3 linked regions of the Daphnia pulex genome follow. The protein of the gene in region 2 interacts with the protein of the main gene of each other region in a biochemical or structural test. Links are inferred from orthologs where the notes say so. Each region holds a gene or a part of one and is shown on either strand. Other genes may lie near its edges.

Region 1 (6,029 bases), on a different chromosome or scaffold from region 2:
TTACTGCTGTGTGTTATAAAACAGCGTGGCTTTCACTATTATACCTGAACGTCGGACCGTAGAGCGGCAAATCGCGCCCTGGCGTCTTGGCGGCATCGAAGAACCAATCTGCGTCATGTGGGCCAACCAATAAATTAACATTTGAATTCTATACGCGGGATTTGAGATGTATCGATTACCGGTATTCGTAATTTCCCGTTTCAATCCTGTAGGAAGGCTCTTGTAGCGTGTGGTAGCTCTGCTCTTCGTCGTCCATTTCTTTGACCTGATTCATCGCCAAGTTCATTAAATTCGGGATCAATAGTCAGACATCCCATGTTATACATACCTTCAAACAATAGGAGAGATATTCAAACTTTGCGTCAGCATAGCGACCGATGGTCATCCGCGTATCTGGGATGGCTTTGTGGAGAAAAGTCCCTAAATCCGCCAGCACCTGATTTAAACATGTATGGATTGATTCAGTTAGATATGAACGGACAAAAGTTTCGCTGCTGCAGATGCTGTGGAGGGGCAGCAAGCACATCAGACAAAAGTTTTGTATCGAAGCCGGAGGCTTTTTGCTGGAAAACTCGCTCGGCGCCGGATGTTATATTAAGTATACCGGCTTGAGTTGTTTAATCATTTGGACGCCGTAGCGTTCCATTTGCCGATGGATCTCGCCAAACTTTGTGAAAACTTCGCTGGCTCGAGGCTGCAACTCGCGAACGCCGATGGTTGAAAAGATGTTGCCAAAGTCTAAGAAGACACACGACAAGAACATTCGTTTCATGAAAATTTAAGTCTCTTCTTGGACTAAGAAAAAAGTTCACTCCACTTTCAATCTTATTTCGAGTCCATTATAAAATATATACCTTTGTAAGTTTGGGAGAGGTCGTAGTAGGAGCGTAGGAGTCGCCTGGTGTGCTATATAACGAACCCAATTTTGAAAAATAATGACATCCGTGACGTGTTTGTGGAAGGAAGAACATCAACAACAACGTGACGTGAACAAGCAAATAATGATAGAATAAGACGAAGAAGGTACACGCAATATACCTCGACTAAGCCTCGGTACATTCCCTCGCAACGCTTGAGATCTTCTAGACGCTTCAACAAGCTGTCGTTGCACAAGATAGCCCTCGAAAGTCCCAGAGCGTCGGCCGTCGAGCTGGACATGTTTTCGACGAAGCGGTGCTTGACTTTCTTCAGGATCAAATCCAACGTCTTGCCCTGGGCGGGCTCTGCGTGAAGTTTGTTGTACCGGATCGTGACTGAACTACAATTTTAAAAATACCACGAAATTGAAATTCAAATTTGTTGGTTCCTTCCAAAGTACGTATATATAGTTACGCGCGGAGGAAATCTGATTATTATGATTACCTTTGGGCGGCTTGAATCATTTTAGCCACTTCGGATTTGGTTTTGCCTTTGACCGAGACGTTGTCCACTCCAATTATTTCGTCGCCACTTTGAAGTGTACCGTCTTTCGCGGCTGCAGTGTTGTCAAATATCTAAATTTACCCAACATACGAATTTTAAAAATTCCATCCGCACCGCGCCGGAAGCGCCGGATAGATTTCGGTTAATAAACCTGGACAATGTAGAGGCAAGGGCAATAAGGTGCACCTCCTCCGATGCTGATTCCAATCAAATTTGATCCGTCCTTTTCCAGAACGATGGAACCCGTCGTAATCGTCATTCCCCTGTTATACGTGATGCAAACATTCATTTTTAATTCATTTCAACGATGCGAAATGGCAGATAAATAAGTTATCGACTTGCCAGTCGATAATTTCTCAAAGCCACGTAACATCAATCATACACAATTTCAAAAGCAGAAGCAGAAGCCAGCTCAGCCAATAGAGCCCCGAAATGTAACATACATAGTAGCCTAATAATATGCACAGAGCTACTATATAGCCAATCGATCGTGAGAGCGTGATAAAAGCGTTAGAGTACACGTCAAAGACCGCAGAAAGGGCGGCCGAAATAACGAGGTCGAAAGAGTACACGACGTTGAATTAGAGACTACATGATTATACATACATCTAAAGAGCCCAAAAGTTGGAAAATGGAATAACTATTTGATGATGGGCTTTACCAGCAGCAAAACGAGCTGCTATACAGATGGCAAATAATATCGATCCTCTCTCTATTTATAGCGCACACCATTAAACTGCTGCACGCACTGCGAGGCGTATTATATATAGTCGACGACGATTCTACATTTTGCAGATTGTACAGGCGCGCACTCGGGTCGTCGACTTACTCTCGATTCTCTGGCCAGAAAAATCCACGTAGTTCGTCCTCAATGTCTTCGACCTCAAGAAGAATCATGCTAGAGGACGATTCAAGCTCGTCGGAATTAACAACGGCCGGGACAATGTCGTCGTCGTTATTAGCTGCCGCTGCTGGGCTACCATCGCAGTCGTCACGAGAGCTCTGGATATTATGACGTTCATCTGATGGACTTGTTATTGATAGGTCGTCGTCCCAGCTAACTTTATTACTACTGGCCATATCCATCATTGCCGGCGGTCCAGGTGATTTGTTGGTCGGTCACGTTTTCCCAGGTGGTCACGCACAGTTAGTTCGTGTATATCGATTTTCGTGATTTTGGTAGAAATAAGAATAGAAATATAACGTCGTTATTATCGGAGAAACAATGTCCGTTTCTGTTCGTGTGTATGGGATTATCTACTGGGATTTTTGAGCTATATAGATTATATAATATCGAACTGGTTTTATGGTTGTCTCTATCTACGTCGATGGTTTTTACCCGGTTCCGCTGTGAAAAGTCGTTTCGGGACTTTTGGATTGGAGCGCGCAAATAGAGCGAGTGAAGGCGAGTGCGTAATATTGAAGGAAATAAGGAAATAAAAAATTTAAAAAAACACATCAATCATAAAATTCATCAAGCCGTGAAAGAAAAAAAAAAGAATGCGCCGTGAGTTTTTAAAGCAAATAAAAATAAGTAACAAAAAAAAAACAAAATCAAACGAAAATTACATGGAATCTTCTTTCATGGGCAACTGGGCGGCGTAATACGGCCACATTTTGCTCTTTTCGCTGATGTGCGCGCGCGCAGCCAAATTGACTCAACGGAAATCCAACGGCCAAAAATGAAAATACAACACAGAGCGATGAAGAATGAACTGAACTGAACTGAACAAAAGGGCAGCACACAACAACACCACCGAGTTATTATTATTTTTTTCTTTTCTCTCAACACTCTTGACTATTATTCTGCCCGCAGCCAAAATAATTACACGACCAAAAGTGTTGTCAAGTGACACTTGTAGTAACTGAAATCGATGGTAAACATTTGGGGTTTTTGGGAGAACTCGAGTCGAATCGACCAGTCGGTTAACGAGTTCTTTTCATGCGACGACGTCACACACGCAATCAAACGGGAAAAAAAACCGGAAAACGTGAACGCACCGAACAAAAATAAAAATGAATGCGGAATGGATTGAGCTATAGCTACAAAAGGGAACGAATCAACTTACATCTTGTCCTCTTCGAAAAAAAAGTCTGGCTCGTAATCGGACAACATTTTGGGTGATTGTTGTTTCAGCACAGAGACGATAGAGAGAGAGAGATGCGGTTGTTTGTCAAATGACGTTACGACACATGCAGACAGCAGCAGCAGGAGAGATGCCCGGTGCTGGTCGCCACAGTTGCCACAGCTGTTTTGTGTACACCCGTATAGAAATTGTCGTCTACTCACTTACAACGGCTGGGGCCAGCACCACCAGGCTTCTCCTTCCCGTCTCGATAAGCCCAGGAAAACGGTCCCCTTATCGATCGTGTCGACTCGCTTCAAAAATCCGGCAACGCCGGACGAGCTCTGCTGGGAGTTGCGTGAAGACTGGCGGATGCGCACCCTGCGCGTCGACTCTTCTGGTTTCCCCCCTCTCTCTCATTCTCCTTGTGTCATTCAGTCGCCCCTTCAATAATGTATTATATACGCCACCCTCTTTTTTTGTCCGCTCTCCGCATTCGGCCCAGCTGAGGAAGTTATCGATTCGTCCAGCGGGAACTCTTCGGGTAGATCGTTCAAACTCTTCTGATACATAAATGAGCAGGGCTGAGTGGTTCCTCTGAACTCTTCAACACCATCCGGCAGCACCGGAATACGGCACCCAAAATAATAATGTTGCTGGATACATCCTCATCAACAGCGCAGCCCTCCACTTTGATTGGTTATATGCTGCCGCTGCGCCGTTGTTTTAATCATTTCGATACGACCGGAATTCATTGGTCGATTCAAATAACCAAACAGGAATCAATCTCGGCTGCTGCTGAATAATCAAAAGCGGCGTCGAGCTAATTGACGAGAGTGGCAACTAATCGATGATATAGAAACGCCCGCTGACGTCAACCTTTGGCAACGGGCGAACTGATTACCCCTTTTCTAGGCCCTTTTATACACACACCGGGCCAAGTCGGCAGCCAGTAGCAGCCCATAATGGTGGAACATCTCCAGTTGTGTGTACATAGTGAAGAAGAAGAGTACAAAGAGATTCATCATCATCGATCGGATGGTGGTGGGGGGGGGGGGGGCTATTTTCATAATAGAAAAGCGAACGAACGAGACGTTTCTTGTCGTCTTTTGCCAACTTTTTTTTTTATTTATTTCCGGCTAGCGGATGAAGATGAAAAGCGCCCAGCAGTCACTTGCTCGGCGCTGTTTTGTATATATAACTACTGGGCTGCTCTATGTATACATTTGATGTAGGCAAATGAAGAAAGTTTCTAGCCGCTATATAGACTCTCGGCGAGTTGATGAATAACGCCACTCAAGAAACTCGCGGGTGTAATGGGAAAAATATGAAAAGAAAGTTGGGCCGTCGTCGTGACGAGTCTAGTAGTACACACGTCACGATTTTTTTTCCCAGCAGCAGGCTACATAAGGGGAGCAGAGTTGTTGGCTAGATAGATTTTGATGATGTTGGATGCATTCAAAGTCATGTGCCAGCGCACGCCGTGTACACATCTATTACGTGGAGTGAAATAATGTAATACACTTATAGCCGTTGTCTTATGAACGGAAAGAGTCGATTCATGTGTATGGACTGGCACGGCTGAATAATGAAGAGATGACGAACCAATAACCCGAGAGAGAGCCGATGACGGCAGACTGGTTAAACAAGTTGAATAACAATGAAGACGTCAAACGAAAGTGTGAGGGCGGCGGATATGCGCTTTACTTTGGGGCTTTGGGCACGTAGCAACATCACATTTATAGTACCTATAGTAGTCTCAGTAATGATGAGTATAACATGGGTTAGATATGTCTCGAATATTGTTTTCGTGTGGGTTGGAAAAAAAAGGGGGTTCCGCTTTTTTGGCTTGTCCAGTAGTGCGCCGGCGTTGTCTATAAAAGATCTTGTGCCATGCCTATAGAGCGTCGATTCCCTCTCAACCCAATATAGTATATAGTGTGTATGTGTGTGTCTGGCCTTTTGGGTGGGGGGGCAAAAGTAACGTAAAGGGAGTGGTAGGGTGGTAGATCATCGATCCAAAAGTCTAGCAGAGATGCAGGGCCGACCCCCGACCCCGTTGTTTTGCCGAGAATAAGCCAACGCCCAACAGGGGGGGGGAACGACGACGACGACTTGATTCCGGCGGTGGTGCCGCTCTGCGCCGTTTGATTTTCTTCGATATTTCTCAATCTTCTTCTTCTTCTTCTTCTCTTTTTTGTCATTGTCATTTTTCATGGGGCTACCGTGTCAAACGCAAAGCAGAGCGGCTGCTCGGCGAGATGCCCGCGCAGCAACAGCCGGACCTGGGCGCGTCGGTCGGTGGAGGGGGGCGGTCGATGCCAGGACGACGGCGACGGCGCTGATTGCGTTTGATGCAAGAGATACCGTACACTCATACCCCCCTTGCTGTTTTGTGTGTGTGTGTGTGTGTGGGAGAGGTATATACGCGTATCTTTGGCTGGTGGTGGACTCCGTCTATAGTCGACTCGCTACTCGCTACTGGCGTTCGGATTCAACAGCGCCACCTCAACGGGTTCGGGCGCAACTTTCTCTTCTTCT
Region 2 (6,029 bases):
AGAAGGAAACAACAAATGAAGTTTTCGAGAACGGTGAAGTGATAGCGGAAGAAGAAGAAAAACAGGAACCCAAAAAGAAGTCACTACCGTGGCAGAAAAACAAAGGCAAGAGAGCTACTAATAAAAAAGGCAGCAAAAAGCCAATAAAGAAGGAAGTAGAAGATAAGAAGAAGACTGCAGCAGCATCAAGTAAAACAGCTAACAAGACAAAGGAAGAAGAATCCGAAAGTTGTAGTGAAGTTGAAGCCGAGGACGAAGTTGAATTGGACGAATCTGACGACGGCGAGGCGGAAGCAGCCAACAATGATGGTTCTTTGCCCGAGAAAGACGACGATCAATTAGAAAAGCTACAGAGTGATGTTGCAATGCGTCGCCAGAGGCTGCTGGAGGGTAAAAGTCAGTTTTCGCACTCGGTGTACTGCCCGTTCTATCCCGAAGACAAACAAGAATATTGGTGGGCTTATATTACGGACCGGAAACAACAAATGCTTCTGACCGCCCCCTATCACATTACCAATCTAGTAGAGCACGAAGAAATCCAACTCAAATTCACAGCTCCGTTCAAGCCGGGATTCTACACGTTCGCCGTGTGTTTACGCTCCGATTCATATTTTGGTTTTGATCAAATGAAGGATATCAAGGTATATTCCGGCTAATTATTTTAATTTTGCTAAATAGGTTATTGATTGATTAAAATTTTAATTCACAGATGGACGTTAAAGAAGCAGAGGAGATTCCTACTGAGCATCCACAATGGGATATTTCCGATGATGAGGATGAAGAAGATAAGAACTCTGGAGGCTCCGAATCTGAATTTGCTACCGATGATGATGACGAAGAGAGTGGCAAGGACTGATTGCAGTAGAAATGAGACTTTTTTTTCACTTGCCAGAGACTTCAACATTCTGTTCATTGGGAAAAAGGATTCAATTTCATCACCGTCTTGTAAAGGCTTAAAATCTTGAAAAATTTATTTCTAGTGGGAATCTTCTGGCTTTATTTTCATTGGCTATACATATGGGTATTTATCATTCCCTATACCTCGACTGCCGATTACACAAATCTTGTCTAGGCCTTCAATCGGTGAAACACGGGATGTTTGCAATATTTTGATTGTGACAGTTGGAAAATTAAAGGCTTCTTAAGACTTCCCTAGAACAGCATTTGAATATTTCGGATAAATGATTCATTTCAATTTTCAATTAACAGATTTGTCTAGATTATTATAGGAACCAAATGTCATCAATTTCTTGACTAGTATAGCGTAAAGAAATGTACACTCTCCACCCTTATACTACCCGACACCAAGGAACCACGGTACTTTATAAAAGGGTTGATAAAGAAAGCGGAAAGGTTGTCTTATCCGAACCAGTGACTTCCCATGCACTCTCTTGTCCACTCCGTTTGACAAACCCAGCACCAATGAAATCCACACTGTTGTCGAGTACAGATCATGTGCATACAACCTCCTGTGAACAAACAAGAAATTAGCTACACCGTTAGAGAAATAATCCCAGATCATAATTTAATTTACCATCTCGCTCGGTTGGCGTTCGGCACTTTGGGCAAGGTTTTGAAGTAACACGTATGGTAACGCGACTGTCTGCATCCCACCTCGCCTAAGTAAATAATTTCATGTTACTCATTTAATCTAGAATCAAGCTCAAATGTGGATATTAGAGAAACCTGAGCAGCTCGTCCGGGATCTACAACGTACTCGGTGGTTGTCAACATGGATTGAAAGTTGTTTTCTCCATTTGTCTGACACTCGTCGATGTGATAGCCTTGTAGGCAATCGCGGCAGAACACGAACTGAGTTGCGAAAAACATTTAGACATTTTTTAACAAGGTTATATTTATGAGAATATGCTTACCTCACATCCCCCTGTGCATTGAATTCGGCGACAAGAAGGGTCCGCAAGTAAGCCCATTCCACAGCCAGGTTGTGGACAAAGCACACCACCTGTCGACATAACATATTCCTCTGCTCCAAAGTGCAGGAGTCGTTGGTACTGCTCATTTCCTAGAATTTTAAAGTGCTGGGTTCCGTCGATCAATGAGTTCTCACATCCAGCTGGACAAGGCAGGGTATAACCGATATTGGGATCGAAGACAAACCTCCTTTCGTTCAATCGAGACATACAGTATTGCTGGAAGCACTCCAAACATATCACATGAGAGTTGGTACATTGAAATACCAAAACAGGATCACTAAAGTGGGATATTAAAATAAGTTGCCAAGTTACTGAATTCTATCTTAACTTTAAAACGATTGCTACCTAATATCCATGCAGGCCAGGCACTGAACCTGTTTGAAGTTTGATTTGACGAGATTCAGAGGAAGAGTTGAGTCAGTCTCTCCTCGTGAAGGGTGATGTGCGCACTTGAAGTAGAATTCGGCCCACGAATGATCACAATCTTCCATCTGACAAGTACCACTAACTTGCTCCGGTCGTAAAACATCATCCCAGCAGCAAGGATCTCGGTCCACGGTGAAGGCACCAGCTTTGCAAAGGCTACATCGAACTCGAAGTTTACCACTTTGTATTGATTTGCATGGAAATTCACAGTAAACATAAAACTGAGCTTTCTTTTGCTTATACTCTGGAGAACTACAAGCTAAAAACGAGGAAGTTGTCAGAATTCATAAAATGATTTGGAAAACTATTTGCAGACGTACCCAGAGATTTGTGCAACAATTTCTGTTCCTCTTCAGTTAACTGCAAGTCGAGCAATGTTTCACAAAGAGGCTTGTCTTGATGAAATGGTGTATTTCTCCTATTTTTGTCTTCGGAAGAAGTTGCATCAGTTTTTTTTATGACTTTAAGTTTAACAGCATTTAGAATACTATTATGACCAAGATCACACTCCTAAAAATTTGTTGGGTAAATTAAACTTAGAATATCAACAAAAGCAATATAAGAAATTAACAAACCTCTAGTAACAAGTCATCAGCAAGACTTTTGCCAGCCAAAATAATGCTGATATCTTCAACTTTCAGACCAACTTTAGGGGCTATAAATTTCTTGATCCGAGCTACATCCCAATCTCGACTCATTTCGATAAGAAATGTTTTACCTCCTGCAGCTTTTATGTGAACAGGCAGGGTAAATTCACTTGAATCACTGGGCCAAAAAAATCTCAAAATTCTGTTCAATAATGAACGTATGAGCGACAACAGCCATTTAATCATTCTGTAGGTTTACGTGAAAAACCCAAGATTGAAGAACATTATGAAAGCGAGATATCTACGTAAAAAATGTATAATTTAAATAACCAAAAATATTTTATATTTTTATATTGCATACCGGCACGAACTGAAAATATTGTTTACGTTGGCTTCGGTTGAAATGAATTGGAACAAACGTCGTCTGCAGTCTGCTGTGAAATGGACTAGCAACAATTTCGTCATAATATTTAGTTAGTAGGTTGACGCTAGCACCTTCTCTTCGTCACTCTCATCAACAAGTCAACTTCGTCTTATTATATTTAGCAGAGTATATAAAAGGTAACGAAATTATCTGTTATTCTGGTGTTTAGTGAGATTGTGGCTTGTAGGCTTTTATGGCTCTAGAAGGTCAACTTAAACTTGTCAAACTAAAAACTGCTGTAAATTTCTAGAATAAGTAATGTCGAAAAATCCTTGATATACTTAACCTCTTTCGTAAGCCCCTCTTTTTCGGTCATACCTACACGTTTATTTACATAAGTAATTATCGAAATCCGTACTTTAACTGAAAATGACGAACCCAACAGAAGTCGACCAAATCATGTTACTGGGTTACTTTTAATTAAATTAGTTTTAGGTCTTATATAACGTTACACTTCTTATAGCAACTAACTAATTATTCTAAAATTCAACCTTGGATGAAAGAAATTTATACAACTATTAATTTCCAGAAAATTAGAAAGAAGTTGGTAATTAAACAATACTGATCTAGTTTAATCCAAGATATTGAAATGTCTGGCAGGAAAAATCTTTTCAAGCAACTAATGGTGGCCCTGAAAAGGGCCGATTGGTAAGTCAAAAGGGAAAAGGTCGCTTAGGCACGTTCACCACGAATACGACGAGCGAGCTGGATGTCTTTTGGCATGATGGTGACTCGCTTGGCGTGGATGGCGCACAAGTTGGTGTCTTCGAAAAGACCCACCAAGTAAGCCTCGCTGGCCTCCTGCAGGGCCATGACGGCCGAGCTCTGGAAACGCAAATCTGTCTTGAAATCCTGGGCGATTTCTCTGACCAAGCGCTGGAATGGCAACTTGCGGATCAGAAGCTCGGTCGACTTTTGGTAGCGACGGATCTCACGAAGGGCGACGGTGCCGGGACGATAACGATGGGGTTTCTTGACTCCTCCAGTGGCCGGGGCACTCTTGCGAGCGGCTTTGGTGGCCAACTGTTTGCGGGGCGCCTTGCCACCGGTGGATTTACGAGCAGTTTGCTTGGTACGAGCCATTTCGAGCGAGTGAAATTTCAGATGTCCTAACTAGTGAAAAGTGCTTGGTATATGTGGGGAACCTACGGACGTTGCAGAGCTAAGCGAGTTCACTGGCTAGGGATTGGTTAATTCAAAAATGGGAGGGAATAGAAAATTTATAACGGAAATCCTTTTTGTTGACAAATGATGGCTGGAGCTGAGTTCCACCAATAGGAGTTCAGCTTGAGGATCCGGTAGGGTATATATTGGGACCATAGTGAGTTTAACATAACATCATTCGATATTTTTTAAATCTCTGAAACTTATTTGAAAATGACTGGTCGCGGCAAAGGAGGAAAAGGACTCGGCAAGGGAGGCGCCAAACGTCATCGCAAAGTTTTGCGTGACAACATCCAGGGAATCACCAAGCCGGCCATCCGTCGTCTTGCCCGTCGTGGTGGTGTCAAGCGAATCTCTGGTCTCATCTACGAGGAGACCCGCGGTGTGTTGAAGGTGTTCCTTGAGAACGTGATTCGTGACGCCGTCACCTACACTGAACACGCCAAGAGGAAGACGGTGACGGCCATGGACGTCGTCTACGCATTGAAACGCCAGGGCCGCACTCTGTACGGCTTCGGCGGTTAAATTTGATTCCGATTTATTATTTTAACTCCTGACTCAATCCAATCGGCCCTTTTCAGGGCCACCATTTACTTAAAGAAAAAGATTTCTTAACCACTTTTTAAACCATATTCTTGTCGACTTTATGCTGCTACAAGAACAAAATCCTTGAATTTTGAATTAATAAGCATCATTCTTTTATTTCATCTTTGAAAGATTTGATTGACATAGCAGGTGTTGGAGCAATGCGTCCTAAAGGATCTTGTGATCTGAAACTATGTTAATCCAAATAACTCGATCGAAAAATATCGAGATGCTGTTATGTTATTGATATTGTTTTCTCAGATTTTACGCAGTATTTTTATTTTTAACTTTCATATTTAACAAAAATCTTCCTTAGTTCCTTAGTATGTAGAAGGAGTTGCTAACGGAGATAAATTTTAATATCAATCATTTTCTAAATCAAATGAATATGTAAAATCAACGCATTGAACCGGATCTGCCAAACTTAAAATTCAGCAGAAAGATAGAGAAAAGCTCTTGATCACAGTATTTCCTAACGTTCCGTCGCACTAATCAACAATATGGGTTCAGTTTAGAACTCGATTAGATAATAAATGTCAAAAGTAGTTAGATGTTTTTCCTTTCTTTAAAATTTGGTGGCCCTGAAAAGGGCCGTTTGGTTTGTAGAGAGAACAAGAGGATCACTCTACTTGGTGCTGGTGTACTTGGTCACTGCCTTGGTGCCTTCAGACACGGCGTGCTTGGCCAACTCACCGGGCAAGAGCAGACGGACGGCCGTCTGGATTTCCCGGCTGGTGATGGTCGACCGCTTGTTGTAGTGGGCGAGACGGGACGACTCTCCAGCGATGCGCTCGAAAATGTCGTTGACGAAGCTGTTCATGATGGTCATGGCTTTGGAGGAGATGCCAGTGTCGGGGTGGACCTGCTTCAACACTTTGTAGATGTAAATGGCGTAGCTCTCCTTCCTCT
Region 3 (5,960 bases), on a different chromosome or scaffold from region 2:
TCTCTCTCTGTGTGTGTGTGTGTGACTTCGTCTTTCCATTTATAACCTCCACTGTTGTTGCTCTCACCATCCGCTGGTCGTGTCTTATTATGTCGCCATTTCGATTATTTGACCTTCTTCCCTCGTTTCCACTCCGCACAGACTCACGCAGTGAGTACACACACACCACACGTATTTTGATTTTCCACCTCTAATTAGCGAGTTGGATGTATTGAAAAAAAAGACAAAAAAAAAAGAGTCCCATCGACTGATTGTATCATGCTATGTATAAATTACCTGAGACTGTGTTCAAAAATTGTCACCACAGAGCCGACGACAACAACAACAACCATTTCTCCTGCTCCTCAACCCGTTTCTTTTGGTTTTTGTTGTCCTCCCAGCGTGTGTGCTGGTTGCGCGGGTCTGTGGACAAGTCGTGTCGTGATTACCCACATTATCTTTCTCTCCCTCTCTCTCTCGTGTTCGTGCTCGCGCGAGCGAGATTGAGCTCACTGGCCGTCATTATGGAGCGACGACGACGTCTTGCTGCGCTTCTTTCCTCTCCCGACCCCGCCCAATTTGAGACGAAGAATTATTGAGGTTAAAGCGACAAGGAGAAGAACAAACAAATGTGTGCTGCAGTTGCGCAGTGTGGGCTTTTTTTGATTATTTGATTTTCTTTTTTTTTTGTTCAAAACCGAACGGACCTCACAGATCAGATCCGATTGTCAGCAGATTCGGGATCGTCGGTTACCCCCCATTTTTTCCCTTCATTCTGAAACTCGCTCACCCCCCTTACAAACTTTAATTGCCGTTTGATTCACCCCCCATCTTTTATTTTCTCTCTCTCTCTCTCTAAATAGATATACAGAAGATTTTATATATTATATTATCGATTCTATTACGTCGAAACAAAAGCCAATCATTTGTCTTTTATTTTCCATGCGTGTGTGTGTGTTTCAGATTCCAGAAGCTCAGTACAAGAATTGTATATACATGTTCGCACAGACACAACAAACACAATGTAGTTTTTCTTTGACGTTTGATTTCGATCCAACCACTTTATTATTACGTCTCTCTCTCTCTCTCTATCTCTCTCTGGCTCATCGATTTTGTCCTTAATTGTGAATAACTTGTTTTGAAATCATCTCTTTAGCTTCCCGTATCATGTTGTTTCACTACCCGCCGATCCTTCCCCTCCGCCATTCGAATGGAGACGAAAACAAAGTTTCGAAAAAGAAAGAAAATCAACTTCATTAAAAAAGAGGAAGTGTTTTTGAGTGATGTGATTAAATACTCGGATGAGCATGGCTATGTGATGTAGTGCGATTACATCTCCAAAAAATCCACCCCCAACCCTCAACCCATTTCCACACTTTGAAAAAAACAAAAATGTTACATAACATGTGTGACGATGATGTGATTATAACTGAAAAGAGAGAAGAAGTAAACCCGGTTTGAAAAAGATAATAACAGAAAAATAATCGACGAAAAGATAAAAAAAAAATACACACAAACACACACTGTCTATACCATACGATTGACTTCTCAGTTATTGTTTTATTATTTATTATTCCGCAGCATCGGCGGAATATACTATCATTATTTGCACATAAAAGTTGATGATGAAAGAAAACAAGATTTTTGCCATCATTAATCAAGTATCGAACATTTACAACCGCCGAAGAGCGGGGACACCAATTGAGAAACATTTCAAATAAAAACCTACACCTAGCCCCCAAACTGAGCACGATTCAATGAAAGTAACTGATGACGATAAACAATTCGAAAAAAGATAAATCAGATTCTTTTAAGTAAGTTGAGAGGACTGCTGCTTCTGAACTAAAGGACAAAAGGGACAAATTCATTAGTGTCAGCTCGCTGGAGTGGTCCAGCCGGTCGCGAGGACACTGAAGACAAACATGTTGTTGGATTAATAATCTGACAAGAATTCCGGGGTGTCACTCTACACCGTGAGCAAAAATCATGATGAGACCCGGTTCCAATATCATATCTGGATTCATATGTCCGTTGTCGCAGGCCATGACGGCCACGGCTTGTTTGCCCGGAATCCTCCGGCAGACATAGTTCTCGTATTGACGCCGGTTCAGCTGGCGGATTTCCAACGACGACAATCCCGTCGGCCACCGCCGTTCGTGGGCGTTTTCCATCAGATCCTGGATGATGTGCGGTGGGCAACCCGATTCGGAAAGGGCTCTCTTGATCATTGCCTGCAACTTTAAAAGGTTATCGTATTTGATTGAATGTATTGAGCTCGCCAACTGTAGGATATTACCTGTAGCACCGTGTCCGGAGTCGAGATCATGCCACCCCAGCGCAGGACTCTCGCCTTGGGTAGAGTTTCGGCCCAGCGTCTCACTTCGTCGGCTTCCATCTGATCTGCCAGAATCCGCAGCGAAGGATTGGCGTTCCGCATGGCTAGCATGTAGTCCTTCAGCAGCTGCAGTTCTCGTTTCTGTTCGCTCATCTGAAATTTGCCCTCGGCTACTTCCGCCTGCACCTCAACTAGTTTCGATTGCTGGGCCTGCATCAACGAGCGCAGCTCTCGCACGCAGTTGTGTTCCTGGAAATGCAATCAACATAAATAAGGTACTATTTAAAGTTGTAACCTGTAAAACAACCCACTTACTTTCAACTCGTCTTTTGGCACAACTAGCCCACAGCCGAGCTCACATGGCACCGGTCTCTTTGGATTGAACTCACATTCTTGTACATGAGACTCCAGGGCATCTAGTTTCAATATTGCAGTGCACCCATAAACAGAGTTATCACAAGTGAGCTGTAGTCTAGAAAAATAATAGAGAAATGGTACAATTTCATACTGATAATAAGGTTTCAAACTTCCAAACCACCAACCTGTATAGTAGGTTCCGAAGTATTCTGGGAACAGGTCTCAGCTGAGGAGGGGTTATGTTTTGTCTGTCGACAGGACAAGTTGGCTGTCTCGAGAGCCACTCGTGAATGCAAGCAGAGCAAAATGCATGCTCACAGTTGGGTGCCTGAAATTACAAGTCTATTAAATCCATCACATTCCCTCTGGGGAAATTTTATTGCTACTCTCGCTTTTGGAAGCGAACTGTCATTATTACCTGTAACGGATTTTCGAGCACTGAACTACAAATTGGACACAACAATTCTTCATCAACTTCTCCTTGAAATCGATTTATTTCAATTCCCATTTTTCTTGGTTAACAAAACGGCCAAGAAAACTTTGACCTAATTAAGTAAACACACCTGCTTCTCAGTAAGAGTTCGCGTTTCTTTCTTTTTTAATAAAGGGGGAACAGAATTGACGTACCTAAATAAATGCAACAACAAGGTGTTGCAGAGCCATCGGGCGGTAGAAAAATTAAACCGTAAAACGCAGTCTGACGGTTAGGGAACGAAGTTTACATATGGAAGTGCCAACGTCACTTCTTTTCATTTCAAACCAATCCTTCAAATGCTGAACATGTAAGTTGATCAACACGTGGTTATTCTGGGTTTTCTAATTTTTTAGTTTCTCATTTAAGTTTTGAAAACGTAGTTGTAGGATATGGTTAACGCTCTTAACACAGTAATTAGCCTGAACATTTTTAATATCTATATGTGTATTGCTTTGGTAAGGTTGAAGTCTAATAAAACCGACTTTCTCTAAGAAGTATATTATAGAGAAAGAAGCCTCAGGTTGGTCTGGGGTTTCTTTGGTTAAAATGGACAAGTTTGATAATAAGTAGTTTTAAGTGAAATTCCATGTTCAGTCTGAAATCAATGTTGCAGTAACGGTCATGAGGCGAATGAAATTTCCTCTTGTCTAGTAACTAACTTGTCAATTTAAGTTGTTAATTTGCCTCATGTAGGAACAGGTTTGATTATATCTCTTAATCTGTTCATTTTAGGTTGATATCTTCAATGCCAGGAGGGATGATGGCAGATGAGTGCAAGGATCGGAAACAATTTTTGAAGGGCTGTGAGACAAATCATGCATTTAGGCTACATTGGTGCCTTGAAGACGACTAGTTTGGAAGGTAAAAACGAATTCCTATTGTATATGGGTAAATAGTCCTGATGACCCTAGGATTACAATGAAATTTAGTGTACCTAAATTAATATTTTGATTAAATCTCTATCGCAATATTCTGAAGTGTAGACCAAAGCAGTATCACACTGAAATGGTTTGTAGATTTTCATGATCAATTATGTCTAGATTGATTTCTGACCTCACTTGGTTTTGCACCGGTTGGTTGTAACCTATCTTCCAGAATTCGCTGATTTGAATGTAATCGAGGAATAAAGGTTGGTTTTCTTATCATATATGTAAAATATGCTGTTGGATTTTGCTGATGACACTCTTAGGACACCTAAATATGTACCCTGATTACTAAATGTGCTGAAAGTATCGAGTGACTTGTCGTCATTTTGGTCTAGTCCTCGCCTTAACGTTATATCGTTTTTACAGAGAAGATTCCATGCCAAGACATTTCGTGGAGGATGGATGTCGACTGTTACGGCTATGGAGCCAATGGAGGAGGTATAGTTATTTTTACATTTGCATTTGAGCCTCAGAGTCACCGGTTTAACGCACATGTAGTATTCCGGTGCTAGAGGATCTCATAAATTAAACGTCTAACCACTTATGCTCGATCTGTATTTATTGCAGAGGTTGATCACCTCGGTTTGAGACAATTTGTTTTGACTTTACAGGAAGATTTAACATTTTAATGGTGTTTATTTTTATTTTTTTGCAGGCAGTGGGTGTGCATTACACTAGATGAGATACAATCATGAAGGTGTTTGCGATTCTTAGGTAAATGGACAGTTTTAATGGTTTCTTTTGGATTTTTGTGATGAACAACAGTTTCCTGTGTTTCTGACAACCATGAAGACCCACTCGAGTCCCTGATAATTCAGGCTTTTTAATATCATTTAATCGGCTGTAAACAAATATTGACGATTTGTTTGGTTCGTTTATTCAGATTGTCTTGTTTAACAACCGCCGTCGATTGTTGAGCTACTGGGCCAAAAACTGGAGTTTCATTTTCTTTCGTTTCGAGATGCTGGTGATTTCATGATCTACGTAGTGAGTAGAGAGAATTACTTGTAATGTTTAACGTAAATTGAAATGATGAGAACGCTTAAAAGCATTTTCCGAGTTCCATGATGATTCATTCTGCCTTCCTTTTGATCTTTAACTGAGTTGACGATATCAGCGATACAAACTGATGTTATAGATTTATTTTTTTCTGTAGGTAATGTGGTATTGCTTCTTGGTCAACGTCATTGGAATCCGAGGAGTTCATTTTACACAAGGTAAATTTTTTTTAATGCGAGACTCGGCAAACAGGTTTGTTTAAGGAGACAATTGTACGCCAGGTTTCTTATTGTCCTGTTTGCAACATTAAAGCGAGTCCCTGAGGCCTTTCTTGCTTTGTTTTTTTTTTAAGCAAGGGGTTGGGCAACCGGACAAATTCATGAAAATAACTTGTGTTTTTTGTGTGTTCAGATGGACTGGTTTATTGTTCGGTGTTTTTTTTTTTTGGCGCCATCTTCATAGGATATTAGGTAATAGCTCAATATGTTAACGAATTAAACGTAAATATCATGATGAACAATTGTTTCCTGTGTTTCTGACAATTATATGAAGACTCACTCGAGTCCCTGATAGATTATTTATCTTAATCTGCATTTGAGCTACTGCTTTCTGCACCTTAACGATGATTTTATTTTGTCGTCTTTTTAGGTTGCTCGGTCGGTTGTCTTGGAGTACTTGGCGAGCATGTTATTGGGTATGTTGTGTTGTTTGTTGGTTAAATTTTTCTTATCTAATTTAATAATTTGGTATATCTAGGTCTGACTACGGTCTATTGGATTGTTGGAGATTTTGTTTATATACGTTTTCTTGATAAATCCCTGTTGTCGAGGTAAGAATGGTTCGATTATTGCGATCTTGGGCAAATGATATTTTGTAAAGAAATTGCTGA

Evidence for each region.
Region 1: the proteins of E3 ubiquitin-protein ligase parkin-like (region 2) and PRKCA-binding protein-like form a complex in vitro, tested with the Homo sapiens proteins (3 studies listed by BioGRID and IntAct, with this or other methods). The link is inferred for Daphnia pulex from reciprocal best matches to the Homo sapiens genes PRKN and PICK1.
Region 3: the proteins of E3 ubiquitin-protein ligase parkin-like (region 2) and E3 ubiquitin-protein ligase NRDP1-like form a complex in vitro, tested with the Homo sapiens proteins (2 studies listed by BioGRID, with this or other methods). The link is inferred for Daphnia pulex from reciprocal best matches to the Homo sapiens genes PRKN and RNF41.

Annotation. Positions count from the first base shown.
Region 1 is NC_060018.1:683,710-689,738, reverse strand, and holds the start of PRKCA-binding protein-like, read right to left. Parts: upstream 3,786-6,029; 5' UTR 3,539-3,785; coding exon 3,492-3,538; exon of another isoform or gene 3,052-3,491; coding exon 2,992-3,051; intron 2,792-2,991; coding exon 2,762-2,791; intron 2,492-2,761; coding exon 2,252-2,491; intron 1,686-2,251; coding exon 1,574-1,685; intron 1,494-1,573; coding exon 1,363-1,493; intron 1,259-1,362; coding exon 1,039-1,258; intron 907-1,038; coding exon 855-906; intron 739-854; coding exon 605-738; intron 437-604; coding exon 329-436; intron 266-328; coding exon 180-265; intron 109-179; coding exon 45-108; intron 1-44. UniProt on the Homo sapiens protein: Probable adapter protein that bind to and organize the subcellular localization of a variety of membrane proteins containing some PDZ recognition sequence.
Region 2 is NC_060026.1:3,259,734-3,265,762, reverse strand, and holds E3 ubiquitin-protein ligase parkin-like, read right to left. Parts: upstream 3,420-6,029; 5' UTR 3,309-3,419; intron 3,249-3,308; 5' UTR 3,194-3,248; coding exon 2,936-3,193; intron 2,871-2,935; coding exon 2,681-2,870; intron 2,620-2,680; coding exon 2,280-2,619; intron 2,212-2,279; coding exon 1,875-2,211; intron 1,813-1,874; coding exon 1,687-1,812; intron 1,620-1,686; coding exon 1,535-1,619; intron 1,470-1,534; coding exon 1,360-1,469; 3' UTR 857-1,359; coding exon of another isoform or gene 710-856; 3' UTR 648-709; downstream 1-647. Other genes in the region: translocation protein SEC63 homolog, read left to right, coding at 1-641, 710-856; histone H3, read right to left, coding at 4,044-4,454; histone H4, read left to right, coding at 4,749-5,060; histone H2B.3, read right to left, coding at 5,746-6,029. UniProt on the Homo sapiens protein: Functions within a multiprotein E3 ubiquitin ligase complex, catalyzing the covalent attachment of ubiquitin moieties onto substrate proteins. Substrates include SYT11 and VDAC1.
Region 3 is NC_060021.1:11,014,144-11,020,103, reverse strand, and holds E3 ubiquitin-protein ligase NRDP1-like, read right to left. Parts: upstream 3,232-5,960; 5' UTR 3,180-3,231; coding exon 3,090-3,179; intron 3,000-3,089; coding exon 2,857-2,999; intron 2,787-2,856; coding exon 2,630-2,786; intron 2,564-2,629; coding exon 2,276-2,563; intron 2,217-2,275; coding exon 1,941-2,216; 3' UTR 1,510-1,940; downstream 1-1,509. UniProt on the Homo sapiens protein: Acts as E3 ubiquitin-protein ligase and regulates the degradation of target proteins. Polyubiquitinates MYD88. Negatively regulates MYD88-dependent production of pro-inflammatory cytokines.